Astyanax mexicanus: one gene and its partners. The protein of the gene in region 1 interacts with the protein of each later gene in a pairwise test. Links are inferred from orthologs where the notes say so. Each region holds a gene or a part of one and is shown in the gene's direction. Other genes may lie near its edges.

Region 1 (7,823 bases):
TTATCCCTCTGAAAGATGACACTTTGACATTTTAAGACGTGCATGTAGCTGCTATGATGTAAATCCCTGCCAGCCCATGCAAATAAACTGGTGCTTTCCCAAATTATATATATATATATAGCTCTGGAAAAAAAAATCATAAAAGCTCTGGAATATAATCAAGAGGAAGATGGATGATCACCACAAGCCATCAAACCACCAAACTGAACTGCTTGAATGAATTTTTGCACCAGGAGTAAAGCAGCATAAAGTTATCCAAAAGCAGTGTGTAAGACTGGTGGAGGAGAATAATATAATTGCAAGATGCATAAACAAAACTGTGTTTAAAAACCACTGAACTCTTAAAACTTTATGAATATGAACTTGTTGCTTTGTTTGCATTATTTGAGGTCTGAAAGCTCTGCATCTTTTATTTGTTATTTCAGCCCCTCAGCCAGGAGAAATGTTGGCCGTAGTTTATAAAATAAAACAACAATGTTAATTTTACTCAAACATAAACCTATAAATAGCAAAATAAGGACTCAAGGATTGCCCTGTACTATGACTATCTTTTCTGTCCCTGCTGAAGAAAAGCTTATCTCCACAGCATGATGCTGCCACCACCATGTTTCACAGTGGGGATGGTGAGCAGTGTTCGTTTTCCGCGCTTTGCATTTAGTCCAAAAAGCCTTAAACCTTTTTTTTTTGGTCTGATCTGACCACAGAACCTTCTTCCACATGTTTGCTGTGTTCGTCTACATGGCTTGTGGCTACAAACTGCAAACGGCACTTCTTACTTCGTCTTTCTTTCAACAATGTTCAACAACTCTTTCATAAAGGCCAGATTTGAGGAGTGCACAACTTATAGTTCTCCTGCAGATTCTCCTGATCTGTACATGAGCTGTGGATCTCTGCAGCTCCTCCAGAGTGACCATGGGTGTTTCGTTTAATTTTGTTCCCCCAATTTCGCAATTATGCACCACTTTCTAAAATCTCAATAAAACACATTTAAGTTTGTGGTTGAGACAAAATGTAAAAAAGTTGAAGGAGTATATAAATACTCCAGTGACTATTAGTCTACACTGTCTATACTGTCGCGCATCATTGCTATTAACAGAAATACTTTTCAGTACTACATCAATCGATCAACAGAGATAAGAGAACAGATTCTATAGTTACTATAGTCGGATTAAATCTCTTAGCAACCAGAGGAAGATGATCCTGCCTGAAGGGTTGTAACCTTGCCTGGGGCGGTGGGGACTGTCCAACCATCTAAAATTATTCTACCAGCTGCAGACTATTCTTAGTCTTAAAAAAGACCTGCATATACCCACTCTAGTTCTCTCACAGCCAATCAGCTTTACTTCATTTACATGTGAGCGATTCTTTATCCTTTATTCTTTATTTAATATCAGTACTTTATTAATACATCTTTAGATGTTGATGAAAAAACGTGACACACTGTATTTCTGACTGGACCAATCACAGCTTATATTTCTTCGCTGTCCAGTGTAAAAAACACTTATCTCAATTTTTGTCGATTTTTTGTTTACTACATAATTTGAACAGCAAAACTGTCTCTTACACTGTGCTAAAATTTCTTGATGAACGAACCAATAGAAACTCTTCTAAATGACCTGAAATAAACTCTTTTTACATTGACTTCTATTAAAAGTTAAGAAGGTTTTTTCTCTCTCCTATAAAGTTAATATTAAGAGGGAATCGGCTTCCACATGTATATTTACTAGAGCATTTTAAAAAACATATCAATTAAATATCACTGAACTCATATTGAGTTAAATACGCAATGTTAAACTCTTCTGTCTTTGTTATATTTAGATCTGTATATTTTTACACTCTGAATGCAGTAAAGCAGTATGTACTAGAACTGCCTAATTAAACTAACTATAAAATACCATTTAATACAATTGGAAAACTGCTTAATTTAGCAATTATTAAAAGCTAAGGCTAAAAGTTAGCACTCCCTAAAGACCCAACACCCACTAAAACCCACTAAACTAGCAGCACTTCCTGCTGAGAGTCATACTGTTCAGCATGAGGGGCAGTCAGTCATTGGTGGAACAGGGGAGGATTTGGGGGTGTTTTTTTTTTATTTTTTTTACCAATAATAACAATCTAACTAAATAAAACATATTCTGTTTTTCACAGTAGATGGCGCTCTTTCTTTAACCCTCATCACTCCTAGGGTGATGTGGATCAGCACAAGGCTGCGTCTGTGAGCTGATGTATCAGAACCGAGTCGCTGCCCTTTATTCCCAGCGTTAGAGCTGCTGTGATGCTACTCGGCAATGCTACAGCATCAGCAGCAGTTCAAAAAGAGGCGGAGTCTGACTTCACATGTGTCGCAGGAGGCGTGTGCTGGTCTTCTTGGGTAATTGGCCTTGTAAATTGGGAAGAAGATTAGATAAAAATTTGAAATTAGCAATAAAATACACAAAAATTCTAAAGGTCAGCTCAGGGCCCTATATAGGCAATTGATTGGTTTGCTTGCCCTGTTGATACGGGTCTGATACCAATACTCTATTATTGTTTAGAAGATAGCCATGTTCTTCTGCATGAATGCTGCACTAACTAACTAATGCAGCAGGAACATTTTCTGGGAAAAAATATGTTTTAATCCTGACCTGAACCAGTGTTTCATCAAAATTCCTCTTTTATTGACTCGACTTAATCAGCGTCCTGGAAACCACATGTCTTTTACGGCTCTGTATTAATGCAGGGTGGTTGCCTGGCTTCATAACCTGCAGTAAACGTGCAGCAGACTGATGATGAGCGTGAGTCACTGAACTCAGGTCTAAGTTGGGTCTAATGGTTCCTGAGATCTGTGGTTCTTTGTGTGCACTGTTTATTATGTAAGCAGTAGGCGGAGTCATTATCTTGAAGGGAGGCAACAATTATCTCTTGATGTGTAGCTTAAAACATGATGGCTACACTTAAAAATGATGAGTTTCTTTGATTTTACCAAATTAAAAACCTGCGGAATATAATCAAGAGGAAGATGGATGATGATCACAAACCATCAAACCACCAAACTGAACTGCTTGAATTTTTGCACCAGGAGTAAAGCAGCATAAAGTTATCCAAAAGCAGTGTGTAAGACTGGTGGAGGAGAACATGATGCCAAGATGCACGAAAAAAAAAAACTGTGATTAAAAACCAGGATTATTCCACCAAATATTGATTTCTGAACTCTTAAATCTTTATGAATATGAATTTGTTATCTATCTATCTATCTATCTATCTATCTATCTATCTATCTATCTATCTATCTATTTATCTATCTATCTATCTATCTATCTATCTATCTATCTATCTATCTATCTATCTATCTATCTATCTACACCGTCCTCGAGTGTGCTGTTCCTCCAGCGACCACTAGAGGTCACTCTCCACACTCCACTAGCACATGGCCCAGGTGTGATATGACTGATTTTAAAGGATAAACAGATCAAATATAATTCATTTTTGTTAATTTTGTGTTTTCTACACTTTACAAACAGATTATCTATTGTTTGGTATAATGTAATGGTACTCTCAGTGTATAGTATACATATTAAACAGTGTCCCAGACACTTTTTTTTTAGAATTTTAAGGTGATTTAAATAGTCTCTGGCAGAGGAATAGCCATGTTTATTCTCCATCCTTCAATACCGTTTTAAAATAGGAAAACAAAACAAAATGTTATAAAATTATTTCAAACGTATCAACAAATGTGAACAGCAGTGGTGTTCCCATGCAGGTACTAAAAAAAGATAAAAACAAATACATTTCATTTGCCCAGAACATAAAAGGAAGGTTAAAAATATCCACTGTGATTGAGTTCTTTATAAAAAGTGAAAGATTATTCTAAAGTTTTGGAGCTGTCAGTAATTACATTGCTCTATTTTCTCTTTTCCATGAGTATTTCGTCATTGTCCAATGAAAAACAAGTATCTAAAAAACAGCAACTTTAAATTTTCTAAATATTTTTTATTTTAGGTTATTTTTAAGTATTTCTACTGGTTCTTTTATCAATAAATTTTGACACAGTGTTAGAGACTATCTGTTTAAATATTGTAGTAAACTAAAAATCAACAAAAATAGAGATACTTGTTTTTCATTGGACAGTGACAGTTTGTTATTGCGCATGCGCTGTAGTAACCCGCAGATTACACCTCTGGAGCGGCACACGTCACATCTGCCCCGTACAACAGCCCTGACCAGTAGAGCAGTGCTGATCCCGCGCGCCGCCTCCAAACGCCCTGCGCGCGCCCTGCTGGAGTACCACCCCAAGCACGCGCTCAGGACACCTCCAGATAAACACGCAGTTACCTGATTAAAATGTCACCTGCCGCTGCAGGACTCCTCTACCTGGCCGTGTTAAGCCTCGCGTGCTCCGCTGCACCTGAGAGAAAAGGTGAGTTCACTTAATTACTTCATTAAATGTAGAGTTTTATTTCTCCTGAGCGCGAGAACAGCCAGCAAAAATCCACTTTTTTATGTTTTAGGCAAGCGCTGACAAGACGAGGAGCGCGCGCTCCAGCTGATGGTTATGATAATATCCTGTGCACGCGCCTGCGTACACTCTGTCCTTAAACAAAAAGGGAAAAAATGTCATTTAAAAATGGGTCTGGAAATCTGGCATCTTGGCATCATGTTCTCCTCCACCAGTCTTACACACTGCTTTTGGATAACTTTATGCTGCTTTACTCCTGGTGTAAAAATTCAAGCAGTTCAGTTTGGTGGTTTGATGGCTTGTGATCATCCATCTTCCTCTTTTTTTTAATTTGGTAAAATCAAAGAAAATCATCTACAGCTATTACAATAACTAACAGTATAATTGTCCAGGATGTGGCCATAATTTAATCCCCTGTCATTTTGATAAAAAATGTGATTAATCACAGTTAATCACACTTAAATTTCTTCCTTAAGTTTAGACAATGGGTATTTAATTGCGAGTAAAAGATTCAAATGTTAGACACATTTACTTTTGTATTATTGGTGCCAATCCCTTAAAAATGGATAAATCACAGATAAAATTGTGATTACCTTTTTTTAAAATGCTGGTACTTAACTGTATTTTTAAGAGGGGAAAAGAAATAATGTTATAAAGTGGCAGACTAGATCTTATTATTTACGGTATTATAATATCTCAGGGTAGTTTTACTGTATTATCTAAGGGAATTTTTTATGCTTTTTAAACTAGAAAGTGTAATGTTCTGAGTTACAGAGTTTAACTGTGAGAGTTGAAATGGAGAAAATAAACACTAATGTAGCTCCATATTCTACATTAAAAAAGAGAGAGAGAGAGAGAGAGAGAGAGAGAAGGAATGTGTTAAAGTTTCCAGATTACCTGTATGCGTTAACGTGTTAATGTTGACAACCATAATATACATGTATATACACACACACACACACACACCTATGGCTGTACATACTTTAAACTAAACCGGTACAGAGAGACAAGCAAACCAGAGGTAAGGGGGGGGGGGGGGGGTTGAATGGGGTAGGTGGTGCTGATGGGTGACAGATAGAAGAGATAAGACATAGCTACGCATTTCCAGCTTCATTTATTTCCAGTCATTTATACTGAAATAAGGTGTTGGCATAGATATACAGCTCTGTAAAAAATGAAGAGAGGACTTCAGTTTCTGAATCAGTTTCTCTGATTTTGCTATTTATAGGTTTATGTTTGAGTAAAATGAACATTGTTGTTTTATTCTATAAACTACAGACAACATTTGAGGTTTCAGACCTCAAATTATATAAAGAAAAAATGTAATATTTATAAAGTTTTAAGAGTTCAGAAATCAATATTTGGTGGAAAAACTCTGGTTTTTAATCACAGTTTTTTTTTCTTGGCATCATGTTCTCCTCCACCAGTCTTACACACTGCTTTTTAATAACTTTATGCTGCTTTACTCCTGGTGCAAAATTATTTTTAAAAGCAGTTCAGTTTGGTGGTTTGATGGTTTGTGATCATCCATCTTCCTCTTGATTATATTCTGGAGGTTTTTAATTTGGGAAAATCAAAGAAACTCATCATTTTTAAGAGCTCGCTTATTTTTTTTCCAGAGCTTTATGCTATATAAACATTTTTTTAATAGGAAATCCTATTTTGATTATGGAGGAATCCTGGACATTTATACTGTTAGCAATCAAGCTCAGTTCTAAAAAATACAGCTTAAACCAATTTACGCACCTCTACTTCCCAAAAATATACAAAGATAAATAAATAAATAAATAGCGATAAAAGAAAAAAGAAAGTAAGAATTAGCGGTAATATATTGCTGTTATTAAGGAATAAAGTTAAAACTAGTAAATTTTAACTAAACCAGACCCAGATTTTGGTTATGTTGGACTAAAAGTTTACTGAGATTATTTCATTATTTTTGTATGAGAAAATGACCCCAGATATCTGGATTACTGGAATATATTTAGCTGGGCCAGAATTTCACCATTATTAAGAATGAGCACCGAGACAAGTAGAGTCAAGCCCCGACTCTGACAGTCTCTTATTATTTTAGTACAAAAGCAGTTCTTTTGTTTTTTTTTTCTTGTGCAATCAATGAGGTCAGTAACGCAGAATCATCACAATCTCTTCTGCTAAATCCCTGAAACAGGTTTGAGTTTGTCTGCTGTTACTTTTCTCACTAAACCCAGAAAAGATGTTGTCGCCATTGTTCTTTATATCAATATTAAATATTAAATAGCTTATTTTAGTTGATTTACTGGGTGAAGAACATACTAGGGCTGCACAATATAATTTTGAACAATATATATCGCGATATTAAACAATGCAGGGCCCATGATGTCACAAGCCCATTAGTCTAATGGATTTGTTTAGCTACCTGAAGTTGCAGCCATTGCTCATCTATAATACAGCTTATCTACAGGGGTTATACAATGAAACTGAAACACCTGTCATCATTTTAGTGCGGGATTTTAGGTTTCATGGCTAAATTGGAGCAGCCTGGTGTTCAATCTTCATTAATTGCACGTTGCACCAGTAAGAGCAGAGTGTGAAGGTTCAGTTATCAGGGTAAGAGCACAGTTCTGCTCTAAATATTGCAATGCACACAACATTATGGGAGACATACCAGAGTTCAAAAGAGGACAAATTGTTGGTGCACGTCTTGCTGGAGCATCTGTGACCAAGACAGCAAGACTTTGTGATGCATCAAGAGCCACGGTATCCAGGGTAACGTCAGCACACCACCAAGAAGAACCAACCACATCCAACAGGATTAACTGTGGATGCTGTAAGAGGAAGCTGTCTGAAAGGGATGTTCGGGTGATAACCCGGATTGTATCCAAAAAACATAAAACTACGGCTGATCAAATCACGCAGAATTCAATGTGCACCTCAACTCTCCTGTTTCCACCAGAACTGTCCGTCACCACAATCAATTATTGTGCTCTAAAACCAGGTGTTTCAGTTTCATTGTTCAACCCGTATAGTATTTCAAGCCGATTTTTAAAAGTCATTCTGCTTAGTTATGCTATTTGATTATCATTACGTCAGTAAAATTTCTGATTTGTCCACTTAAAATAGTCATTATGACAGGGCTAGTTTCAGTTCTGAGGAAGCAGACGGCTGAGTGAGACTGAAAGAATTTTATAAAGTATGTGCAGCAGGTTTCTCAGAATTTTTTTAAAGGGCAAGGCTTTTAGTGTTCAGATTTTTTAGTGTTTTCTTTCCTTCTTTCAGTTTTTCTTAAAGATCTCTTTCCGCTAAAATCCTCTTTTTCTTGTTCTTTGTGAAATACAACAGGTCTCTCTGAGTTAAAGCTACAGTAACTTTACAAAACTCGGATATTCTGAGATCAGGCAATGCAGTATGT
Region 2 (8,037 bases), on another chromosome or scaffold:
CCTCCTCAGACTAACAGCTGCAGTGAGGTGTGTGTGTGTGTGCGTTCGTGTGTTTGTGTGGGTGTGTGTGTGTGCGTGTGTCAGGGTCTGGCTCAGAAACCAATCAGTGACACCACAGATACTGAGGCAGGCTTTCAGTGGGGCTGGAACAGTGATTGTGAATGTCTAGGAGATAAACAGGACATACTGATACCACAGTAAAACACCAGTGTCACCTCCTGATACATAGACACACTAAACACAGCTTACTGTGTGATAAAAAAAAAAACAGGAAACAACAGTGTCACAAACAACACCAACCTATCTATTGTTTCTGTATGTCCCTAATAGACACATTTACCATATAATTTCTTCTGAAACTGAGAGTACAAATAGGGAACAGACTACACTAGATGCTGTAACATTGCTAAGAATATTAGAATGCTTTCAGCCTCAGGGAGTAGGGATGTCCTGATCAGGTTATTTTGCAAATTATCTGTGTCAGTTTATATGATCCAATGTGATTTGGGTTTGTATAAATAATAACAGCCATGCAGTTTAGATCATTCTGAAGTACTTTTACTTTGTTTTAGTAACATTTTATTTAATAAGACTTCTGACTGACCAGACTCCCTGACCATTTAGCTCCCAGTTCCTTTGAAACACTGCAGTCAAGTCACTTTTGTGTACATCTATGTGTATTCAGGTTTATACTCCCTGGACTGATATCTGTTAATTCCACACTGCACACTAGTTCCACACTAACTAAACTCTTTACTGTATTTACCTTCTGAGAACTCTCCTCAGTGCAGTCGACTGGGCGATACTGTCCACTACTTGCTATGAACACTGTGGTTAAACCATAGACTTAGAATTGGATTTGGACTCAAATAGCTGATACCTGATCCATTTAAACATGCCTGGATAAGATCGGGACATCGATATTAGTGAGTATAGTGGGGTATTTACATTTGATCATTAGGTCTGGATCACAAACATTGCTTCAAATAATCCCAAAGGTATTGGATGGAGCTCCAACCCTGTAGATATTCAGACCTACTGCTCCCAGTCTATCTGTTGATCCTCAGCTGATGATTGTGACCTGGTGGTATGGAGGCCTCATGTGCCGCTCCAGAGCATCCCAGTCTGTTGTCAGGGCTATATAAATTCTGTGTGTGTGTGCATTTTAACATCTTATGTCAGCACTGAGTGCACCTAAGTAGCAAGTAGTTGGATTAAGTAATTAAAAAAGGCTGCCTGGGTACTTTCAGACATTCATGGCTGGTTTCCCGGACAGGGATTAAGCCTAGTCTTTGACTACACAGAACTCTGAATTAACATTTTTCATTAAAAAGAAAATATAATCCATAGCTAAGCTTGATCCCTGTCTGGCTGTTGTTTATGAAACAACATATAGTCAATAGAACAGCTTCCTGTTTACTGTTAGTGTACCCAACTAAAGTGAGGATAGAGCTAATTAGTTTATTACTATTAATACTGTTACTACTAATGCTACTACTGTGATTACTGTTACTGCTAATACTGTTAAAAATGTTAGTAATACTTCATACTATGATTACCACTACTTCCACTAATATTACTATAATTACTAATATTATTAACCATTTAGGTTATCTCCTAGTAACTAATACTGTAACTACTGTTACTGCTAATGCTATTAGTAATGTTACTAACACATCCTACTACTGTTAGTACTACTTTTACCAGTTTTGCTACAACTGCTCCTATTACTACTACTTCTACTACTACTGCTACTAATACTACTATGTAAGTACTACTATTACTATTGCTACTGTTTTACTGCAACCACTGCTATGGCTATTACTACTATTTCTATTACTCTCACTATGTTCACAACTACTGCCACTATTACTATCAATACTGCTACTTTAAAACTACTTTAAACTACAACTATTAATGTTATTACTACAACTACCGCTTACTATTACTACTTCTATTACTATCAATACTTATAAATCAGTTGACATTTTAAATCCTTTTTTTTTACTATGTATCATATGTATAAATAGTAGACATCAGACTACACGGAAATCATATTGTCCCAGCCTAATCATTTTTCATTATACCTGTCACAGGTGGACAAAGTGGACAATGACTAGGAGGACAATTTTAGCAAAAATTGACATTTGTTGAAAACATGTAAAGTGACTGATGTCACGGGTTCTTAAAGGAGGATTTATTCCAAGCTTGATATGGTTTTATGAAAACTGAAATAACTGAAGAAAAGTCTAAAGTATTTTTTTTAATCTTCAAAACTAAGAAAATAAAGTATAAAACTGTGTTGTTTAATCTCATTTTATCTTAACTAGGCAGCACCGTGAACATGACAAAAGAACACTGTAATAACTGTAATAAATGCAGAAAAAGTATTTTAAAGAGTAGCTTTCCTCTATGGTTGTAATAATTTGTTAATGAGTCTTGAGAAAGTGCTGGTAGATTCTGTGTGTCTCCAGAGCACAACAACCCTGCAGCAGCTGGAGTTATTTATGTACAGCCTCGAATATGAACCAATGAACTTTCCAGAACTCGCTAGAATATTTCTGCCGCTTTTTCCCGTCACATTTCTCCTCCCAGCTCCAGCGCACTGTCCTCTGATTGCTCTAAACCAAACCGCGCTGAGCGAAACAACCAATCAGCGAGAGGATGAATCTAAAGCGATGAGAAAAGTCACAATGCGCGAACCCGGCGTTTCGCTTTCCCATGTATAGCGGGTTGCCAGATTTGCAGGTGAAATAACACGACCGTTGATTAAAGAGAAATTGTGGAGCTTTCTGTGTACATTAACTAAGTGTACAATATAAAAAGCAAATCATTAATGAAGTGTAGGTGTAAATAAGTTTAATATATGTATGTTCTGTTCATTGCACATATCAGAAACACTGCTTGTTTGTGTTATTCAGCTTTTAAATACAAAAGAATCAAAAGTATCCACATTTTAAAGTATCCACTCATTTCTCAGGTGTCCATTGAAAATGAACGTATTTTAGTACAATGTAAATATATTAAAGAAGCTTAGTTGGGACATTTCGCTCAAGTGTGGCGTGATGTGCAGCTGCAATGGATTAAGTATAAACCAATAGCCATGAATCATTACAAATCCTGTTCTACCTTTCACTCTGCAAACTTTCCACTGCTTTATGTAATAAATATGTAACACAGTACTGTACTTTTAATTTCATTACTTGGGTAGTACTTAAGTACATAAATGATGGCATATCAACATTGAATTAACGTTGGTGTTATGCTTCAACCAACGTTGGATTTGGTGTTTATTTTAAAAAGTGAATAAATGTTGATATGGCAATGTTATTTCAACGTCGAACGTTCAACCTTTAATAAAACTTAGCTCATATTCGGGATGCTTAAAATTGTATGGAAGAGGGAAAAAAACTGTATGCCATGATGAAATTAACAATTTTATTTGTATTGCTGACTACCCAAGGCCAGAGTAGTGAGAGGGGCCCATGATAATCCAGATTTTTTTTTTCACGTGTACTGGCATGGATAGGGGCCCACTGACATTGAGAGTGTACAGGGCCCAGAATTTGAAACCATTTTTTCATCCTTCCATCCAAACATTTTTTTCAATTGTATAGTGATTCAATGTAAAATACTAATTCAAAAGGCAGAAGGTTGAGGACATTATGTTGATTGAAAGTTAAAATTTTATAGATATTTTAAACAGATATTTTTTAAACCATATTTCGACCATATTAAACCTGATTTCAACACTGAAACAATAACAACAGACAGTACTTCTATCATATTTCAACCATATTTCAACCACATTTCAACGCTGAAGGTCGGTTGTGTGCCAGTTGGGGGGTTAGCACTAGGTGGGCGATATGGCTCTAAAATAATATCACGATATTTCAGGGTATTTTTGCGATAACGATATACTTGCCGATATAGGAAAACAGAAATAATTCGTTAATTTCAGGAATATACTATAATAGTTTAACAGTATAATCATAATGTGGCAAAATAAATAACATAGCATAAAATAATATAATGCAGCAAAAAAAATTGCAGAATATTTAGTGCATGCATATAAACTGCAAACTAAAACAATTAAACAATACATTCACTTAAAGCTTCACAGTAAATAATGGACTACTTTTAAGACAGAACATCCCTATTATCACGATATGGATTTTTAATATCATGATATTTCTGTGTCACAATATATTGTATTTGGATATAATATTGCCCACCCCTAGTTAGCACTTCTACTTCTAAGTGTGGAGCTTAAAAACACTTTAACTTCTAATCAAGTCACCTTTTAAATAGAGCACTTGTACTTGTTTTATTATTATACATGTCTGTTTAAAACAGACAATTATGCAACATATGTGAGTCACGGAGGGATATTTCAGTGCGACATGGCAACCCAGATGCTGGGGTATAGTCATATTGAGCGGTGGGCGGCGCGTCTCCACTGTCGTCTCACAGTAGTTTCTGGAACCTCATGGTTACACCATGGAGAAAGTAAGTACCACTTCAGCCTGGGAATTAATTATATTCCTGCTGAGAAAATAGGAGATATATATTCTGTGGGGAACAGCATATACTTACTGCGTGTTTCTGCAGTTAGCTGAGGGGGGATTGTGTCGTGGTGTGAGTGGGCTGGCCAGTTAAACCCCAGCTAAGTTCGTTAGCGGCAGTTAACATTAGCCGGTGAGCTAGCGGTAATATTAGCTAAGCTAGCTGCTGTGTGACAGGCGCTGCTGCAGCGGTGCTCATTGTTAGCTCCGGTGCTAAGTTTATGAGCATGACTAATAAAATAAAAGCCAGTTATTGGAGTTATTCCTCTAGTTTATGTTTGGCAGTGCTGTAGCTCATTTTTATGGCACTGTTGTTTCGTTAACGCAGCTGTCTGACTCGTATTAGCAGCGTAACTAAGCAATTAGCTTAGTTCGCTAGGCTAGCTGTAAGTGCCTAGCTTAGCCTAGCTTAGCTTAGCCGGGGGAGGCTTTGCAGAGATGAAGCTGTAAGCTAGGTTAGGTGCATAAGCACTGCGACAGTTTATAAATGTCCCCTGTTGCTCTGATATAACATAGCTAACTATATCTATAATAAATGTATAGCTCTAAACAGAGTCGTTTTATATGGTTTTCTGTGGATAAAACACTTAATTCCTGCTAGTCTTGTTAACTTTTCTAAACGAAGTTGACCAGAAGTCCAGGTTTAGCTGATTAATTAACTTTATCTGTTTAAATTCTCCACCTTCTACTTTTCCTCCACTTGATTTGTTTCTGTCCTGACGATGTCAGATAGTTTACACAGGGTATAATTTATTTCTTTACTAGCAACACATAGCAATATAGTTACTGTGCCAAGTCCTGCTGGAAAATGAAATCCGCATCTCCATAAAAGCTGTCAGCAGAGGGAAGCATGAGTTATGTAAGACCAGCACCAGCAGATGACATGGCTCTCCAAACCATCACTGACCCATCAGTAAATTAAGCATTTAATTTGGAAATCAAGGGATCAGAGTCTGGAGGAGAAGTGGAGAGACACACAGTCCAAGCTGCCAGAGGTCTAGTGTGAAGTTTCCACAATCAGTGATGGTTTGGACAGCCATGTCTTCTGCTGGTGTTGGTTAGCTTCTCCACCTTCTGCTTTTTCGCCTCTTGATTTGTTTCTGTCCTGAGAATGTCAGATAGCAAGATATATGATATCGATCCTCTAAAAAAAGGGAAAAAAGAAGAGGAAATGACTGAAACCAATGTAAAGTTGATACAATTGTTCATCCCTAATACTAGGCACTAGTAACTAGTTTTTGAGTATGAAGATTTTGTTATAGTTAGTAGTGTCCTTGTATGGGCAATATTTTTATCCCAATTGCATATTAAGTGCTAATACAAACTCATATTTTTTAAATAAGGAATGTCAAAACAATGTATAGCCCAAGATATATATATTTTTATAGTATTATTAGTATGTAGTTGGGACACATCCTTAGTGTTGAGCAGTCTGGTATCAGTGTTGTAAGGTTTTAAGAATAGTAAGAACAGTTTGAGCGTATGTAGTATTATTAGTCTTTAACCACATAGACAAGTCTTTGTCATGAGTTGTGAAGACTGTAGGTGTTACTCTCCAGCCTGTAGATCAGCTGCTGTGACTGCTGTCAGTGGTTGTCTGTCAGTGACATTTGTGACACTTAGCTAAGAGCAGGTCTGTGTGGTGTGGCAGCTGACTCTGACCACTCTGATTTTTGACCACCACCAGTAAGCATTTGAAAATCAGTGGTATTAATAAGAATTTTTTCACTATTTGTTGCAGCAGAAGCCTTTACTTAGATTGTGCAGTAGATCACATTCCTGTGAGGATTGGATTGCATTCAGCCACAAAAGTATTAGTGTGGTCAGCTCATTATGTGTGATTTAGTAGGTCTGGGTCCCAAACACTGCTGTAACTCTTCTCAAATGTAGAATGCTGTTCTGCTGATCCACAGCCCAATGCCTGGGGTTTATACTCTTGTGGACAATGTTTGCTATTTGTAATCTGGTGGTATAGTGATGGCATGCTGCTCCAGACTTACCCATTTTAGCTTTTCTATGAAGATCTAAAATCTATGAAGATTAAAAGTTACCTTTACACATTGTATGATCTACAATCTTAAATCTGTACCTGATGCGCAGTTCTGAGATGATGTGGTGCTGCAGCTTACCCTATAAACCATTAGTGTGAAGAAGAGCTTTTTTGTGTGTAAAGTTGGGCGATGCTTTATTATCTAACCACTGTTGTGCTAAGTGAGTTGTTCTCTCTCTCACTCGTAGGTAGCTCTTCTTAGTTACATAAGAATGAGTGTATATATGAATACCTGAAATGTCACAAATAAAAAGAAACTGTGTGGACAGAAGTACTGGGACACTTTCCATCCATTGCTGTTTCAAAATCAAGAGTATTAAAGAGTTTTTTCTGACTTTGTAAGAGTAATTGTCTTTTAATTGCCATTTATTGACAATACTTGTTTGGTTAAGGAGGTCATCCAAAATTACAGGATTGAGCATCATGATTCCAGAAATCACAGTTTAATGGAGGGATGCTTTATACCCCTCTTGCCCGTGCCTGATATAAGGCATGGTGCCAGTAGGTTCATGTTTCTTCTCTAGAGACTTCTATTCTATTGGCTGTACTTTTCTACAAGGAAAAAATAAGCCGTGTGTGCACAAATAATTATGCCAACACACCTTGCCTTGCCATGAGTCATTGGTCACATAACATGCTGTAATATAAGCCAAATGCCATTAATGTAAATGTTAAGTGTGTCTTTAAAAAAAAAAAATAGTGGGTCAAGCACTGTAAGGTCTACGGGCAGATACTTCTAGTGGCTGGCCTGTTTAAATTGCAGTGCAAAAGAGTCTCAGCATCTTCCACCTGCTTCATGTTGTAATGTACATGGAGTTCTGGTTGAGTGCGGGACAAGCTGTGTGTTTCTGTTGCCCTAATACTTAAATTCTGCTGTTTTTTTATTTCTTTTCTGTTTCTCATTCTGTTTTTAAACCATCTCTAAGCAGTACTGAAAGTTCTTATCTTTTAAGTAAGAATCTGGGCAGTTAATCACTTAATCAAATCAGTCAGTGTCCTAATAAAGTATAGAATTGAATGTTTTTTAAAAGGTTTACCCATTACTATGCTCTTTTTCCCTCCCAGGTATCTCAGCTAAAAGACCAGGGCAATAAGGCGCTGAGCGCTGGAAACATTGATGAAGCCGTTCGTTGCTACACGGAAGCCCTGGTTTTAGACCCATCCAACCATGTCCTTTTCAGCAACCGCTCTGCTGCCTACGCCAAAAAGGGTGACTACGATAATGCCCTGAAAGATGCCTGCCAGACCATTAAAATCAAGCCAGACTGGGGCAAGGTGAATAAAATTCTTGCTTTTTTTTGTCTTTTATTTCCCCTCTTCTTCAGATCGGCTGGGTCAGCCATATGCTGAAATATTGATGGATGCACAGCACAAGACCGTTGACTCTATGTTTTAGCTTTTATAGCTAAGTTGCTATATGGT
Region 3 (7,921 bases), on another chromosome or scaffold:
GAGAAGTGGATTAATAATGACCTGTCAGCAAACTCTCGGTAGTAGTTCACAATCAGTGTAACAGTAGAGGTGCTGTGATGTTGTAGGTTGTACTGATGACTTTAATATGGTTTAATTGGTTTGTTTTTATATTAACTTATCTTGAGTCTATTTTAATGACCCTCAAGAGTCCTTAACTAATTCTCTCTCTCTCTCTCTCTCTCTCTCTCTCTCTCTCTCTCTCTCTCAGTGTGTGTGTGTATGTGCGTGTTTATGGAGGAAAAATGAGTGTGTACGCCACCGTGTGGTGGCTAAATGGAGAATGCATGATCAAATTTCAGTAACAGAGTTCAATGCACATGTAAATGTGACACCCACAAAGTCAGACCAGAGATGCAGTCGTGAAAGCAAGTCATGGTTTCTGTCTCACCAAAATCACTTTAAACTAGTTTAAATATACCATACTAGTCCATGTTTATACACCTAGTTGCGCTGTGAATCGAATAAATGCAGAAATTAAGTGTGCTGTTTTAGTCAACTGTGTTCCAGCTATGTTATAAATAGTTAAATAAATTAGATGGTCTAAGTTGTTTTTAGAGTGTTTTACAAGCATATTTGATCAATTTAACAGGATATTAACATGTGTTTTCAGAAAATGGCAGTTCTATGAGGTGTATTATCAGTCCTAGCAGTTAGCAGCTTCAGCATTTGTTTTATTTGTCTACCTGTTCATTTTTATGTTAGTTAGTTTGCAAGGGACCCTTTTCTGAATTTTGATCTTTGGTAAATATCGTGTAATGAATGTACAATTCATATATAAGCTAGAGTGTGTTAAAATATATATATATATATATATATATATATATATATATATATATATATATATATATATATATATATATATATATATATATATATATATATATATATATATATATATATATATGCTATTTTTATTACTTTTTTGTTTCTTCTTTATTCATTTATTCTGTCCCCCCTCTTTTTTCTTTCTTTCTTTCTTTCTTTCTGTCCCACTGAGATTAAGTTGTTTTATTAAAACTGCTTTGCATTTTCTTTATTTAAATGATTTTAAGTTTAAGTATAACGGAAGTAAAACAGCATTTAATTACAGTATTATAGCCTTTAAATACCCAACAATGACAGACTTTGTGTGCAGGTTTGTGTATGTGTATGTGTGTGAATGTATGTGTGTGTAATCTAGATTCAGAAGCCAGACAAGCTGGCATGCCACAGCTGGAGTCCCCACGGCCCCTCCAGCATGCACATTCGTCCCATAGCCCACATTCCTCCCTAGTTAAAGGTGAACAGACGCTTCCAGTAAGTCATGCTGAATTACATTAAATGCTGTCCCTCACAGGCTCCCAATGTGATCAGTTCATAACATACATAAAACACAATATTTCAGCAGCAAAACTCTTGGTGAGGAGAAAGAAAAACAAACAACGAAGTTAAGACTGGAGACCCAAAACAGGTGAGGCTGCAGACATGGAATAAAATCAGTTTCTTAGGACAAGTTTCCCAAAGCATCTTAATGTTAAGATCTTCTTCACCGGCAGAGAGAATGTTCAGAGAGATTGTTTAGAGAAATTAGATCATTGTTTTGTGAGACTAAATAAAAAAAATGATAGAATGCAAAAGTTCTGAAGGTTCTTGGCTTAGTTCTCAATGTGTTTTAAGTTTTGCAGTATGTTAAGGATACATCTATAAAATATTTATATCTATAAAAAGATTCTTCAGACTCATACATCTACAAAATAATACTTCAAACTAATGCTTCTTGCCTAAAATGTTTTTTTAGACCATTACAGCTCATTTAAAATGGTCCTTTAGGCTTGCACAGTATCTCTAAGAAGTTGTTTTTAGACTTATATTTTTTTTAAGGGTTTACTTAAACTAAGTCAATTTCTCTAACAAAAAGTTATTTAGACTAACATTTATAAAAGCTTTGTATTTCTTTAAAAGTTTTTTAGACTTCTTCTTTATAGATTTCTTACACATCCTTTTTATCGAACCAACGCATCCTTTCTAAAGGTTTTTTAGACATAGGGTACGAGTCAAAAGTTTGGACACACCTGTTCTCATTAATTTATAATAATTTTACATTGCAAATTTAATAGTGAAGGCATTAAAGTCATACAGGAACACATGTGGAATTATTTTGTAAACTAAAAGGTTAAACAAATCAGAATATGTTTTAAACTTTCGATTCTTCTAAGTAGCACATTTATCTTTGAGGACAGATCTGCAGACTCTTGGTATTTTAATCTCAGTGTCTTCATGAGGGAGAGTCACCTGGAATAGTTTTCTCAGCATCTTGAAGGAGTTTCTGGAGGTGCTGAACAATAGTTGTTGCTTTTCCTTCACGCTGTGAAGCTCCGATGGTTTTTGTGGAGGGCAGGGGATTGTGGAGAACAAACACTTTTTTGGTTTACTACGTCATTCCATATGTGTCTTTAATATTAATCTAAAGTTTAGAAAATACATTATACAAAGAAATAAAGAAAAATATTGAATGAGAAGGTGTGTCCAAACCGACTGGTACTGTGTGTATTCTTTAATAAGGTTTTTAAACTGATGTATCTTCTTTGAAAAGGTTCGTCATACTCACACAACATCTTTAAAAAACGTTTTTTTCAAATGCAGAAATGTACATTTCTCTCTAAAAATAATATAAGTCATTTGCAACAGCAGTTTTAACATTTTTTTTTATATCTACCCTTTGAAGGGTTCCTCGGGACACCAAATGTGGTTGTGGCATTGCTTTAAAGAACGCTTAATGCGACCTGTATTTGTAAGTGGTTGAGCTCAAGACCTGTTTAATAATAATGGTCTATTTCTGAGCCTGTTGCTCTGAATATTTTGCTCACAAAGGCATGTAATGAGCAATTCTCAGAGAGATAAAAGCAGAGCCAGACGAGTTAAGCATGCAGAACCGCTGCTGGCCGCAGCGCCGCTCACTTCAGTGTGTTCAAATTGCTCCAAGCTGCTCCCCGGGATCAAGGTGGAGAGGATGGTGGAGCAGATCGAGGCTCCGAGATTAGGTTGCTTTGTGCCGGAGAACAAGGCACTCTGTTCTTTTTGCGCGCTCGTGCTGCAAAGCAACATGTGGAAGTCATTGTGGACGAGCGGGCCGAGCGAGGAGGCGCTGCGGGGCGGATTCCTCCAAAGACGGGGGGCTGGGGGGCAGAGCGGGATAGCGTGGGAGGTGGTGGTGGGGGAGTGCTTGAGTCTGGCCCCGGGGTCTGGGTCAGTCAGCTGGGCAATGAGGCAAAAAGGTGGGCTCTGCGGAGTGGAGTGTTGTGGGGCTGAGTGGGTGTGGGGTGACTTTGGAACTTGTACAACTTTAGAGGTCATCCTGCTGAGAGAATAGTCAGCCGAGCTGCGGCTGTGTTATCATAGGAATCAGATTATGTGAAGAGTGTAAGTTCTTTAAGGACAGTTTATTAAACCAGACTGGAGAGAGAGAGAGAGAGAGAGAGAGAGAGAGAGAGAGAGAGAGAGAGGGAGAGAGGGGTGGGATAAATTTGAATCTTGAATCATGAATAAAGGACTGAGTAAGAAGAGAAGAAATTAGAAGAGGACAGAAGGCGTAAAAGAGAGAAAGAGAGAGAGAGAAGGAATTGGGTGCATAGGGAGAGACGGGGAGGAAATGGGGTGTCCAGTGAGAGAGAGAGAGAGAGAGAGAGAGAGAGAGAGAGAGAGAGAGAGAGAGAGAGAGACAGGATAAATATGAATCTTGAATCTTGTATGAAGGACTGAGTGAAAATGAAAAAATTAGAAAAGGCTAAAATGGGTAAAAGAGAGGGAGAGAAAAGGAATGGGGTGCATATAGGGAGAAAATGGGGTGTCGAGTGAAAGAGAGAGAGAGAGAGAGAAAGAGGCAGGATAAATTTGAATCTTGAATCATAAATAAAGGGCTGAGTGAGAATGAAGAAATTAGAAGAGGACAGAAGGGGTAAGAGAGAGAGGGAAAAGGGATGGGGTGCATTTAGGGAGAGACAGGGAGGAAATAGGGTGTCGAGTGAGAGAGAGAAAGGGAGAGAGAGAGAGAGAGAGAGAGAGAGAGAGAGGCTGAGACACAGGGATAATGAAAGTGAGGCAGTTTGTGATGTTAGAGCGCCCTCTGTTGAGTGTAGACTTTCACACTGCGGAGTTTCTCGTTACTCATTTCTGTACAGCCCTGCAAAGCCCCATACACCAAATAGAATCAAACCAAACCATCTCATATCAGCATTTTTTTTAATCGTATGTGTTATAATAATTGCTATTAATGCAGGTAGTGATTGCGAGCAAACGCACTTTTCAACCTGGGGGAACCATTATGCATGTTGGGTCTCTTAAACTGTATTAAAAAAAATCTTCAAACATCTAAAAATCAATGTACATAGAACATAAAACAGTGCATCTTTGATGTTTGTGTTGCCTACACTTTTACTGTGTTCTCTTTCAGTTGACTTCTGTGTGTTCTGTTCTACAAAAGGCGCTCTCTCAGACTTCCAGAAGAAGAAAAAAACATACGCGCGACAGATGTGAATACAGGACTTTTATTTTGGAGAAAAGTCCTGCGGGAGGGAGGGGGCTCCTCCTCAGAGCTATTTACTCAGAGTCAGATGATTATTGGCTGGGGAAGGATGGGACTGTAAGAGTGAGGCAGAGTTAGAGCGCAGCGCTGCTGGAGCAGTCAGGAGAACAGCGGAGGAATAACGCAGAGTGCAGGAGACTCTGAGAGGACACTAAACACACACACACACACACACACACACACTCACAAAGAAGAGTGGAGCTGGACGACTGAGGACCCTCTTTGGACTACTTTACTGGAGCTATTCAACTTCTTTTTTTTCTTTCCATGGTCAAGTGGGAACGACAAAAGGATTTTGAGAAAAGGTATTGTGTGGGTAAATTGGTTTAGTGAGACTAATTGGTTTCTTTTCAAGGCACTGTAGCTGCAGACAGGATAGAAACGTTTAAAGGCTAATTAGGCTAATTAGTAAGAAAGAAAAGCTTCATAAATTTTGTCGCTTTTTAACCATATATTATATTTTGGGTTTATTTTAGTGTGCTGTTTTTGTATTGTTTTTTTTTTTTAGTAGAAAAACTTCCCCATTTTTGAAGAATGAAAGCTGGGAGCTTTTTTCTTCACTTTTTTGTTTCCTTTTTGTGAACTTTTTCCTTCTTTTTTCTTTTTTTTACTTTTTTTTTTATTTTTTTTTCTTTGCAGCACAGACAGAACAGTTTTAATTAGGCTAATTACTAAGAAAAACAGGACCCTAGGGATTACTGAGCATTTCCTCGACCAAAGCCCATCATTACACAAAATTTAAGCAGCCTATTTTTTGCGCGGTTAACTCCCCTGCAGTGACTCCAACACGGTCTGTCTCCTGGATGCGCGGGATGGAAGGAACTTTACCCTTTATTTTTTGGTTTGATTTGCGCGCAAAACCTTGCTCAACTTAGCGCGAATTACACGGCTGTTCGTATCTTTGCCATATGGCCTGCAGTCCAAACTAATGACAAACACATTTCCAGCGGATTCTTGCTTGCTTTTCCTACCCTCTTTGAGGACTACATGGAATATCATGCATCTGGATTACTGCGTTTATTGTTTTGACCTGTATGGATAAGTGCGTGCATCATCTGGCCTACAGAGTTACTTTATGCGTTAAAACACGCGCTCTGGGCGTGCGTAACGTGTGTAAAGTTCTTTGCAACAGTTGGACGACTCTGGATGCTGGTCAGAAAAGGCTGCTGCAGGACTCCAGCCCACCCTACCCCCTACAACATTCCCATGGAAATCCATTTGTGCGCGCGTGGGACGGGGCCGGAGCGGGACGGATGACGCTGTGATCCCCTGCTCGCGCTCAGCTGTTGCTCCACGGTGGCACATCCGCAACGTTTGGAGCGCTCGAGCGCATCTGTCTATCTGTTGTCTATCTGTGTCTGAGCTGATTGCGCACACTCACGTTAGGAGTGCGTGTATGTGTAATGTATGGAGACTGGATACACTCTCGGATTCCCACGCGAGACGCTGCAGTAGTGTGGAGAGGGCTCGTCTAATCGCGTAATTACAGCCCGTCTCTGCAGGGGTAATTGGCCAGGGGTGATTACCCCCCGTCCGCGCGCGCACAGGAGAGCTCGAGCAAACGGCACAGTGGCGTCTGGAGGCAGTAAAGTAAAACAGGAGGTGGACCCCCCGCGCCCCCTGCATGTCTCTTTACTACTTTACTCTAACTTTGAAGTTGACTTCATTAGAAAACACAGCACTACGTGATTTTTTATTAATTAATGTGTGCATCTCGTATAGCCTTAGATATCGCTGCTCTATCTACTCTATGAGACACAGCGGCAGTCTAGGCTGTAGACTAAAAGCCAATATCCTATAACCAACTCATGAAGAAAAAAAACAAGAAGCTGTGCTTTACATCAGCTCTCTGCGCTCCTGCTCTCTAGGACACGCGAGCCAGATAACGCGCGTGCCTCCCGTTACACACACACATACACTGTAGAAAAGTCCGCCTGCAGAAGCTGCAGAAGCAGAGGCTTCTTTAGATAAAGTCATGGAGAAGAGATAGAGACCACCAAAAAACGAACGCATTGAAAGACGTGAAAACCTTTGGAATTGGGAAGATTCAAAGCCTTTGCAAAAATGGATTTCCATGCCATGTAAACTGCTTCATGGAACAAACAGGCTCTTCATGGTGGAAAAAAACTCTTTACAGTGAAGAAACTCTGAAGAACCGTATTTGTGGAACTTCGGAACTTGAACTCTGAGGAAACGGAATTTTAAACACAAGTGTGAACACGTTTTAAGATTCGATTAAAATAAAACTTAAGAATAAAAAAACATTTGAAAGTGCTTTATGTCACTCTCTTAACTCCAGCCCTCTGTCTGCAGACAATCTGCGCTGAGTCGGCCGCTCTGTTAAATCTCGTACTCTGTCGCCCCCTTGTGATCACGATCCCACGATCAGCTCCGCTTTCCGAAAAGGAAATATTGGCATCCTCGTATTGATTCAGCGCCGACCAACGTTTTTACAGGCATACCTGAGGATAGAGCCTGTCCAGCAGCGCGCTTTCCAGCCGACGATTCAGTGCAGGTTTTATTAGAGCTGATCTAACACCGGAGGGAAGTCCCTCTTTTACTCAAACCGAGTGAAGAGATCAGCTAATAAAAACATAGCGGACTGAATGTGATACACAGGCTCAGCTGCCTTCAGCATAAAACACACAGAAAAATGATTTCGTTTGCAGCATTTTACTTTATAAACAATCAGCAGGTCTAAAGTTACAAGACGCATAACTCAGCTTTCCCTTTTCATTCCAGCTGAACTGGATCTGAGTGACCATGGGGACTGTGAAGACACATCTCCTTCTGGGGGTTGTCTTACTAGGAGTCCTGGAAGGTAAGGGCGTGAAAGAAAAAAAAATAATAATTAAGAAAAGAAAGGAAATAAAAAATGAACGAAAGAAAAAAAACAGAAATAATGAAATTATAATAAAAATACAACGAACAAAGGAGATAATAAATAGAAAAGATATAAACAATTAAATAAATTAATTACAGAAAACAAGACAGGAAAAATACAATCAAAAAGAAACGAAAAAGAAAAGAGATGAAAGAAAAGAAAACAGTAAATAAAATAAAATAAAAAACAGAATTAAGAAAGAAATGTAACAAAGGGAGAATGAGAGGGAAAAGAAAGACAAATATATTGAGATAGAAAGGTAAATAGTCTAAATAAAAATATAAAAAAAGAAAGCACGAAAGAAAGAAAGAAAGAAAGTTAGAAAGAAAGAAAGTTTTCAAAAAACTTTGCAGATACAAAAAAAAAAACAATACAAAAAAGAAGAGAAGGAAACTGAAAGAAAATAAGGAAAGAAAGAGTGAAAGAAAGATGGAAAAAAGTTAGAGAGAAGAATT
Region 4 (8,039 bases), on another chromosome or scaffold:
AAAGTGCCCAAACTCAACAGATTAAAAATTGACTGACAAAATATCAGTACTTTCCATGTTTAAACAACATTCATACCTTTAAATTCCTTTTAAATCTCACGTTCAGCTGTTTCTACCGTTTTAGAGATGAAGGACATGGCAGAAATAATCGTTGACTAATCGACTAATCAGAAAATAATCATCAGATTAGTCGACTACCAAAATAATCAGTTGCAATCATTAGTTGCAGCCCAAAAGCACAAATAGGAGGCTTGCTGGTCAGCAGTAATTTATATGTAATTTAGGGTAATTCCTTGAGTTAATTAGACTTAAATCTTTATTTTTTATGTCTCAATTGTGTGTTTTTTTAACTGATTTTGTATTTGTTGTGTCAATAACAAAGTATTCAAACATACATTACTAAAAAAATACAAGTTTTACAACATCCCCATTTTTTCTCTTCTTTTTTTACCATTTAAGCTCTTCAGTTCCAGTCTATAACTGAAAAAAAAATCTAAATCAAGTGTACAAATTGTGTACAAAAAAAGTTGTATTGTATATTGTATTGTTATTGTATATTGAAAACCTCTGGAATATAATCAAGAGGAAGATGGATGATCACAAACCATCAAACCACCAAACTGAACTGAACTGCTTGATTTTTTTGCGCCAGGAGTAAAGCAGCATAAAGTTATCCAAAAGCAGTGTGTAAGACTGGTGGAGGAGGAGAACATGATGCCAAGATGCATTACAAAAAAAACTGTGATAAAAATCAGGGTTTTTCCACCAAATATTGATTTCTGAATTCTTAAAACTTCATATAATTATGAACTTTTTTTTTTTTTGCATTTTTTGAGGTCCGAAAGCTCTGCATCTTTTTTTTTTTGTTGTTGTTGTTATTTGAGCAATTTCTCATTTTTAGTGCAAATAAATGCTCTTAATGACAATTTTTTTTTGGGGGGGGGGGGCTTGGGAGAAATGTTTATAGAATGTTTATTTTACTCAAACATAAACCTATAAATGAAAAACCTTTATAGAATAGTCCCTGGATAATTCACGTAAAGCTGATTTCAGCACGCCCCACGCTCCCCTCCAGATGCCCAGCTGCACTGTTGAGTCTTTTTATCTGGGTTTTTTTCATTCGCTTTGAATTCGCTCACCTCAAAAATGGCAACAGCTCAGATGAAGCGCGGGTCTGAATGATTCATAGCGAGCTCGGGCTGAGCCGCGCTGCTGAGTAATGATCTGTTTTTGGATCTCTCTCAGCATCCTGTTTTTGTTCAGTTTGACTGCACTGACTCACGGATGAGAGCGTCGTGCCAGACGTACACACACTCTCTCCACAGGGGAGAATCACAGGTCCAGATTCACACAGTGTTTCTGACTAATTCTGCTCTGTGTTCTGCTGAGCAGGAGAGCGCTGTTCTCTGCATCCTTCACTATCCTCATTTCACCCGGTTCTGTAACGGTCAGGAACTCACAGAACCACCACGGGTATCATTCTCAGCATACAAACACAGCAATGACTTTATTACTGCACTTCTTCACCTGTCAGACCAACTCTAGTCCTTAATCATCTTAATCTGAGCTAAAGGCTAAATAAAGCTGCTGTAGCCATGTGGGTCAGCCAGACGTGACTCTTCCTGCAGTGTTTTTTCTCCAGTTTCCTCCCAGATTCTTCATTTAAAGGTGTAGGAAACAGTGATCACCTCTCTCTGGCTTCATCTGTAATTTCTCTATAGTTATTATAATGAAAGTGTGAATGTGCTGTGTGTAAGTATGCAAATGCTGAAATTTGTTTAAAATTAAGAGACTTATTTATAGGTATACATTTGAGTAAAATCTATACAATAGAGAACATTTCACCCAAATTCCTCCAAAAATACAAATATTTAATGTCATTTAGAGAATTTATTTGCAGAAAATGAGAAACGGCTGAAATGACTAAAAACTAAAAAAAAAAAAAAAGCAGAGATTTCAGACCTCAAATAATGCAAAGATTTGGTGTAAAAACCCTGGTTTTCAATCACAGTTTTTTTTTTTTGTATCTTGGCATGTTTTCTTCTCCACCAGTCTTACACACTGATTTTGGAAACTCATCATTTTAAAGTAAACTCATGTTTTTTTCCCCAAAGCTAAGCCTTACATTAGAGTGTTTTGGAAATAAATGTAACTATAAAACTGAAACCAGTACTTTTATTCTTTTACTTAAAGAGTAAAAAGCTTGAGTTGATACTTCAATTTATCTAAGTATCCAAAATATACTTTTACGTACAGAGTAATGACTTTAAAAAAAAAAATCTTTTTTTTTCTTTACAGTAATGAGTGTTTCAAAACATTTGCCCAATATAGTTTAATATATGAATATATATCATTGCTGTCCAATTAAAACCAAGTTTCTCCAAAATAGCAACTTCTTTATTTCATTTAGGTCATTTTTTTTAGGTCAAGTATTTCTATTGGTCCGTTCATCAATACATTTTGGCACAGTTTTAGGGACAGTTTGTCTGTTCAAATTGTGTAGCGAACTAAAAATCTACAAAAATGGAGATACTTGTTTTTCATTGGACAGCAGCGATATTCTGGGAAGCGAAACCCACTGACCCCACTCTGAACACCTTTCTCCACATTCCAGCGTTAACTATGGAGTGACTTCCATTGAAGAACTGGTGGAATTTCCCCTTTAAGAAAAAGTAGCCCCCTCTATTAGGGGGAGGACACAAGCTGAGAGCTGGATAAAGGGGCGGGGGAGACCGGGGGAGACCGGGGGAGACCGGGGGCAGCGAGGTAGAGGGCACAGAGTGCATTAACCATTCAAACAATAATAAGCGCGGGAAAACACAAGTGCGGGGTGGGGGTAGTCAGGGGGAGGGAGGTGGCGGCGGGGGTAAATGGATGTCTTTTTATCTCCAGTTTCCCACATCCTGCCACCGAGTCTGAACGCGGCCACCCAATCTGAAAGAATGCCTGGTATGTGCCCGTTTTCCCTGCTGCCTCGGTGCCGTGACCGCCATTGTTCCCCGGCTAAATAAAGCATGCGGCTCGCCAAGAGGGAATAAACCTTCAGAGCACTAATTTGAGATTAATGAGGTTTTGTTTGGTGAAGATCTTCATTGACTCAGAACCCAAATCCCACCCCCCACCCCCACTTTCTTTTATCTCCCCTGATACACAAAACTTTAACTTAAAAACAATGGAGTGGAGGTAAATGACTCAGGTTGGAGAATTGATGTGAGCCATAACATTGTCTAAGGCTGTTTCTTTTGTTTGTTTTGTTCTTTGTTTTTTTTTTTTTTTACCCAAGGTTTCGTAATTGTACATTTTGTGTCAACATCAGACAAACGGCATTGTTTACCCATATTAATGATTCACTCCTCCCACACAACTTTAGTGTAAATGGGAGGAGCCAAAGTGCATAAAACAATGAAACAGGACCTAAAAAAAAAATAAATAAATAAAAAACGACTGCATTTGTTTTATAGACTATAGGGTAAAAAGGAGCGTGCAGACAATTTATACAATAAGTACTATTTAACAACTTTAAAGCAAAGTCTAAAAACACTTAGAATTAAAATTAACATGATAAAAACATTCCTTGTTTACTTTTATCATTTAAGTATATATATATATATATATATATTATAAGCAATTACGTAAACTCAAAATAAAATTTTAGAAACTTGACTCAGACTTAGTAAGTCCAAGTCTTAGTCTTGGCTTAGACTCGACTCGGAATCAATATGTCACAGTTTTGTTCTTGACATAGACTTGACACAGACTCAGACTCAATATGTCCCAGTCTTGGTCTTGACTCAGACTCAATATATTCCAGTTTATTCTGTATATTTTATCGTACTTTTATATCCTACCCTTCATTTGTAATATATGTGTGCTATGTATATTTGCTACTGTATGTTTAGAATTTCCTTCTGGGATCAGTAAGGTATCTATATATATGTCTGTCTGTCTGTCTGTCTGTCTTGGTTTTGACTAAGACTCAATATTTCCCAGTTTTGGTTTTAAATTAGACATTTTCTTAGTTTGTTTCTTTCAAATAAAATAAAAAACATAAAATCTACCAAATTCACTCTAAACACCTTCAAATAAAAAAAAAAAAATAAACATTTTATTTATTATTTTTTATTTAATTTTTTTATGCATATCAGGTCCAACACTGAATCGTTTGCGTCCAAAGTGTCCACGAGGTTCTTAGAAGGTGAGAAGGTCCTCGTTCCCCTACTGGAAAGGAGCAGATGTCTGCAACTTTGGCGAAACTGGCCCTCATTCTGAGAAAGAGAGAAAAAAAACAAAACAAAAGCTGCTATATGAACTTATTGCCCCCTCCCTCTTTCTTTCTTTCTTTCTTTCTTTCTTTCTTTCTTTCTTTCTTTCTTTCTTTCCTCCCTCTCTTTTATCCTACCCTCCCCCTATATGCCGGTTCGTGAACATTTGGCGCGTTTTGTTTCCCGCCACGTCGGCCAGCCAAGCTTCATTTTCATACTTGACAGACGTGCCGTTGACGTTTAGCGATTGGACGAGCCCGGGAAAGGGGAGGAGCGAGCCGTGACGCACGCGCTCCGCTACTACGGGTATATAAGCGGTCCTGCCCCGCCTTTACGATTCAGAAAGCCGGCGTGTTTATTGTGAGTAGCGCGCCCGGGACAACGATTTCACAGTTTTCCAGCTCTTCAGCGCTTGTGTTTGTTTTTATACCAACTTGATGACTCTTTTCTGGGGTTATTCTTCGTTTTGAGCCGCACTTCAGAGCTTTAATCTGGATGAGAAGCTCGTTTTTGTCGTGCTCTTTTGGCTTCCACAAGAAAGGCTTGGATTTTAAACGCGGAACGGATTAAACTTCTTCTCACGGATTATTCAAGTAAAACAAGCTCAAGGAAGGAAAGAAATGCTTCTGTCCAAGCTCAACTCGTTCGCTCACATCTCTGCCGTGGATATGCCTGCAAAAATTCAGCTTCATCCAGGTTAGAAGACGGATATTTTCCTTATGTTGTGGGTTTTGAGCTGAATATCCGTCCCGGGATTTTGCTCCGACCGCCTGGGCGGCTCTGCTGCAGCGCTGCTGCAGCAGAGCCGCCCAGGCGGTCGGAGCAAAATCCAGGAATGGATTATAACTTTTTGGTGTTTAATCACCTAAATCTTTAAATAAAACATAGGAAATATAGACATTTTAGCTTGTTTCACATCTTTTAACATATTTCTTGCATTTGTTCGAATTGCAGTGAAGGAGAAGGAGCCGTTTGAGAAGGTTTACCAGGTCGGATCCGTGTTGGGAAGCGGCGGATTCGGCACGGTGTACGCTGGCTTGCGGATAGCCGATGGCGCGCCGGTAGGTTTTTTTTTTGTTTGTTTATTTTTTATTTTTTGTTGAATATGTTAAATAATTCGGTTTGTTTGGGTGGGTGTGAACTGAAATAATTCGCTTAAGGCTTTTGTTTTGATTTTTTATTATTATTATTATTATTATTATTATTATTATTATCCATATTATCCATAGCTGTGCATGGATGGGTGTCTATAATGTTTCTTATAATTTATGTTTATTTAAATTTTTTTATATATATTACAGGTTGCTATCAAGCATGTGGCGAAGGATCGTGTGACCGAATGGGGAGAATTGGTAAGCTACTAATAATATTATCCAATAATTATTTATATAATTATCTATATACCTATTTATATGATGTCTAATCTCTATTATAATCTCTTGAATCTTCCACAGCCCATCACAGGAGCTCGTGTACCAATGGAAATCGTCCTTCTGAAGAAGGTCAGCACCGGTTTCAGAGGTGTGATCAAGATGCTGGACTGGTACGAGCGCCCCGACAGCTTCATCATCGTGATGGAAAGGCCGGAAAACGCGAAAGACCTCTTCGACTTTATCACGGAAAAGGGAGCTCTGCCCGAGGAGCTTGCACGCAGCTTTTTCCGCCAAGTGCTCGAGGCGGTCAGGCACTGCCACAACAGCGGCGTCGTTCACCGAGACATCAAGGACGAGAACATTCTGATTGACCTGCGTAGTGGAGAGCTCAAGCTGATCGACTTTGGGTCCGGAGCTCTTCTCAAGGACACGGTGTACACCGACTTTGACGGTAAGAGCCATTGCCTCCTGTATGTTTCTGTAAATGATCAAGAAAATAAAAAATGGAAGGCAAGACCCTTTAACCTACCTTACTATAACCTACCCTACTAGGCTACTGTACTAGTTTTACCTATTCTACCTTTTCCCACCCAATCTTGCAGCTTGCTTTGGCGTAAAACGAAAGATTTGTTGAGAAAAGATTAAACAAAATAAAAAAGATCCCCTTTACATTTGTATCAGTTTGTATCTTTAAAGCCTTTGACCTTCAAGCTTAAGACCGTAGAACCCTTTTTAATTTTTTTTCCCCCGCCCTCGTCTTAATCCCAGCTTGATAATATATATATAGTGTATGTATAGTATAGCATTCATCTTCTTTTTTTATTATTATTATTTACAACAACAGGGGGAAAAAAAAAACCTGACCATCACACGCATGCACGTGACGTACTGGAGCGATCTATATCAATACAAAAAAAAATAAAAAATCAACTCTCACGCGTTTGTTTTCATGTTTCACGTTTTCATGGGAAGAATTGACACACAACAAACCTGCCCTTATTATTAATGTGCTGGGTTGTGTTGCCTTGCCTTGAAAAAAAGGCGCAGGAGCTCTTTTGTTGTGATTCCGCAGCGCCCCTTGTGGCTACAAGCGGTAGTGCTACAACTCAAAGTTTGTAAACACAAGTCACATGGCAACCGGTCTACACACACACACGCTTACACACTCTCTCACACACACACACCCACCTACTGTCATGCTACGGAGCACATGACTGCACAGATTAACCTGAACAACTTGCTGCCTGCCCATATTTTGTAAACATATATGCCATATATTACAGCTCTTCCTTAAGCACCTGTGCATTTTCTTTTTCTAATATATAATATAATATATATATATATATATATATATATATATATATATATATATATATATATATATATATATATATATATATATATTTTTTTTTTTTTTTTTTTATATATATAAATGATATTGTTTATTCATCTCTATTTTTTTTTTCTTCAAATATAAGTGAAATATATGTGTTTTTACAGACTTTGTGTTTTTGTGATATAGATTTTTAATGTCTTTTTTTCTTTATATATTTTTTTGTATAGGTACACGCGTTTACAGTCCTCCAGAGTGGATCAAATACCATCGGTACCACGGAAGGTCAGCCACGGTGTGGTCTCTGGGAATCCTGCTGTACGACATGGTCTGCGGAGACATCCCCTTCGAGCAAGACGAGGAGATCGTCCGCGGCCAGGTGCTCTTCAGGCGCAGGATCTCGACTGGTAAGACTTATTATTATATGAGTAAATATATAAGTAAATATAAATAAAATATAAACAAAATATATATATAAATATGTCTGATCATTTCTCTCTTATTAAATATTTACAGAATGCCAGCAGCTCATTAAGTGGTGTCTGGCTCTGCGTCCCGCCGACCGCCCGTCCTTCGAAGACCTCGTCAACCACCCTTGGATGCAGAGCTCCAGCACGAACGCGCCCCCCGCGGACGGAGCAGAGATTCGCCTGCACAGTCTGAGCCACGAGTCCACGGCCTTCACCACCGTCGCGGTGTGCAAATGACTCTCTCGTGCGAAAGACTTTCACTAGAACACACTACTACATCAGTTAGCCTGGCGGCTGCTCCTCACTGAACTGAATGCACTCTGGTGCGGGAAACTTTTTAAACATTTTTGAAATGTGAAATGTTTGGGGTTTTTAAGCGAAGGAAGCTAGCTGCTGATTGGTGGGATGGTGGGATGGGTCTGATTGATTAATTGATTGATTGATCTCAGAGAAGAGACTTGTAGTCTTGTCTCGTCTCGTCTCTCGTCCTATCTCTTAATTAAGAGAAAGAGAGAGAGATAGTCAGGAAGCCCAGGACCCCTGTCGAGATGATGGTCTGGTCCAGTCTGGTCTGGTCCAGTAGGAACCTGAAACCTGGAAT

What was found.
Region 2: the proteins of epidermal growth factor receptor (region 1) and stip1 interact in binary tests that used the Homo sapiens proteins (3 or more experiments, as listed by UniProt). The link is inferred for Astyanax mexicanus from reciprocal best matches to the Homo sapiens genes EGFR and STIP1.
Region 3: the proteins of epidermal growth factor receptor (region 1) and pdgfra interact in binary tests that used the Homo sapiens proteins (3 or more experiments, as listed by UniProt). The link is inferred for Astyanax mexicanus from reciprocal best matches to the Homo sapiens genes EGFR and PDGFRA.
Region 4: the proteins of epidermal growth factor receptor (region 1) and pim1 interact in a protein complementation assay, tested with the Homo sapiens proteins (3 studies listed by BioGRID and IntAct, with this or other methods). The link is inferred for Astyanax mexicanus from reciprocal best matches to the Homo sapiens genes EGFR and PIM1.

The regions. Positions count from the first base shown.
Region 1 is NC_064413.1:1,351,632-1,359,454, forward strand, and holds the start of epidermal growth factor receptor, read left to right. Parts: upstream 1-4,160; 5' UTR 4,161-4,320; coding exon 4,321-4,396; intron 4,397-7,823. UniProt on the Homo sapiens protein: Receptor tyrosine kinase binding ligands of the EGF family and activating several signaling cascades to convert extracellular cues into appropriate cellular responses.
Region 2 is NC_064408.1:21,487,881-21,495,917, forward strand, and holds the start of stip1 (stress-induced-phosphoprotein 1), read left to right. Parts: upstream 1-4,424; 5' UTR 4,425-4,500; coding exon 4,501-4,509; intron 4,510-7,680; coding exon 7,681-7,890; intron 7,891-8,037. UniProt on the Homo sapiens protein: Acts as a co-chaperone for HSP90AA1. Mediates the association of the molecular chaperones HSPA8/HSC70 and HSP90.
Region 3 is NC_064408.1:64,427,784-64,435,704, reverse strand, and holds the start of pdgfra (platelet-derived growth factor receptor alpha), read left to right. Parts: upstream 1-4,616; 5' UTR 4,617-4,886; intron 4,887-7,322; 5' UTR 7,323-7,345; coding exon 7,346-7,403; intron 7,404-7,921. UniProt on the Homo sapiens protein: Tyrosine-protein kinase that acts as a cell-surface receptor for PDGFA, PDGFB and PDGFC and plays an essential role in the regulation of embryonic development, cell proliferation, survival and chemotaxis.
Region 4 is NC_064419.1:2,571,010-2,579,048, reverse strand, and holds the start of pim1 (serine/threonine-protein kinase pim-1), read left to right. Parts: upstream 1-4,606; 5' UTR 4,607-4,882; coding exon 4,883-4,958; intron 4,959-5,216; coding exon 5,217-5,323; intron 5,324-5,563; coding exon 5,564-5,614; intron 5,615-5,716; coding exon 5,717-6,086; intron 6,087-7,198; coding exon 7,199-7,375; intron 7,376-7,484; coding exon 7,485-7,675; 3' UTR 7,676-8,039. UniProt on the Homo sapiens protein: Proto-oncogene with serine/threonine kinase activity involved in cell survival and cell proliferation and thus providing a selective advantage in tumorigenesis.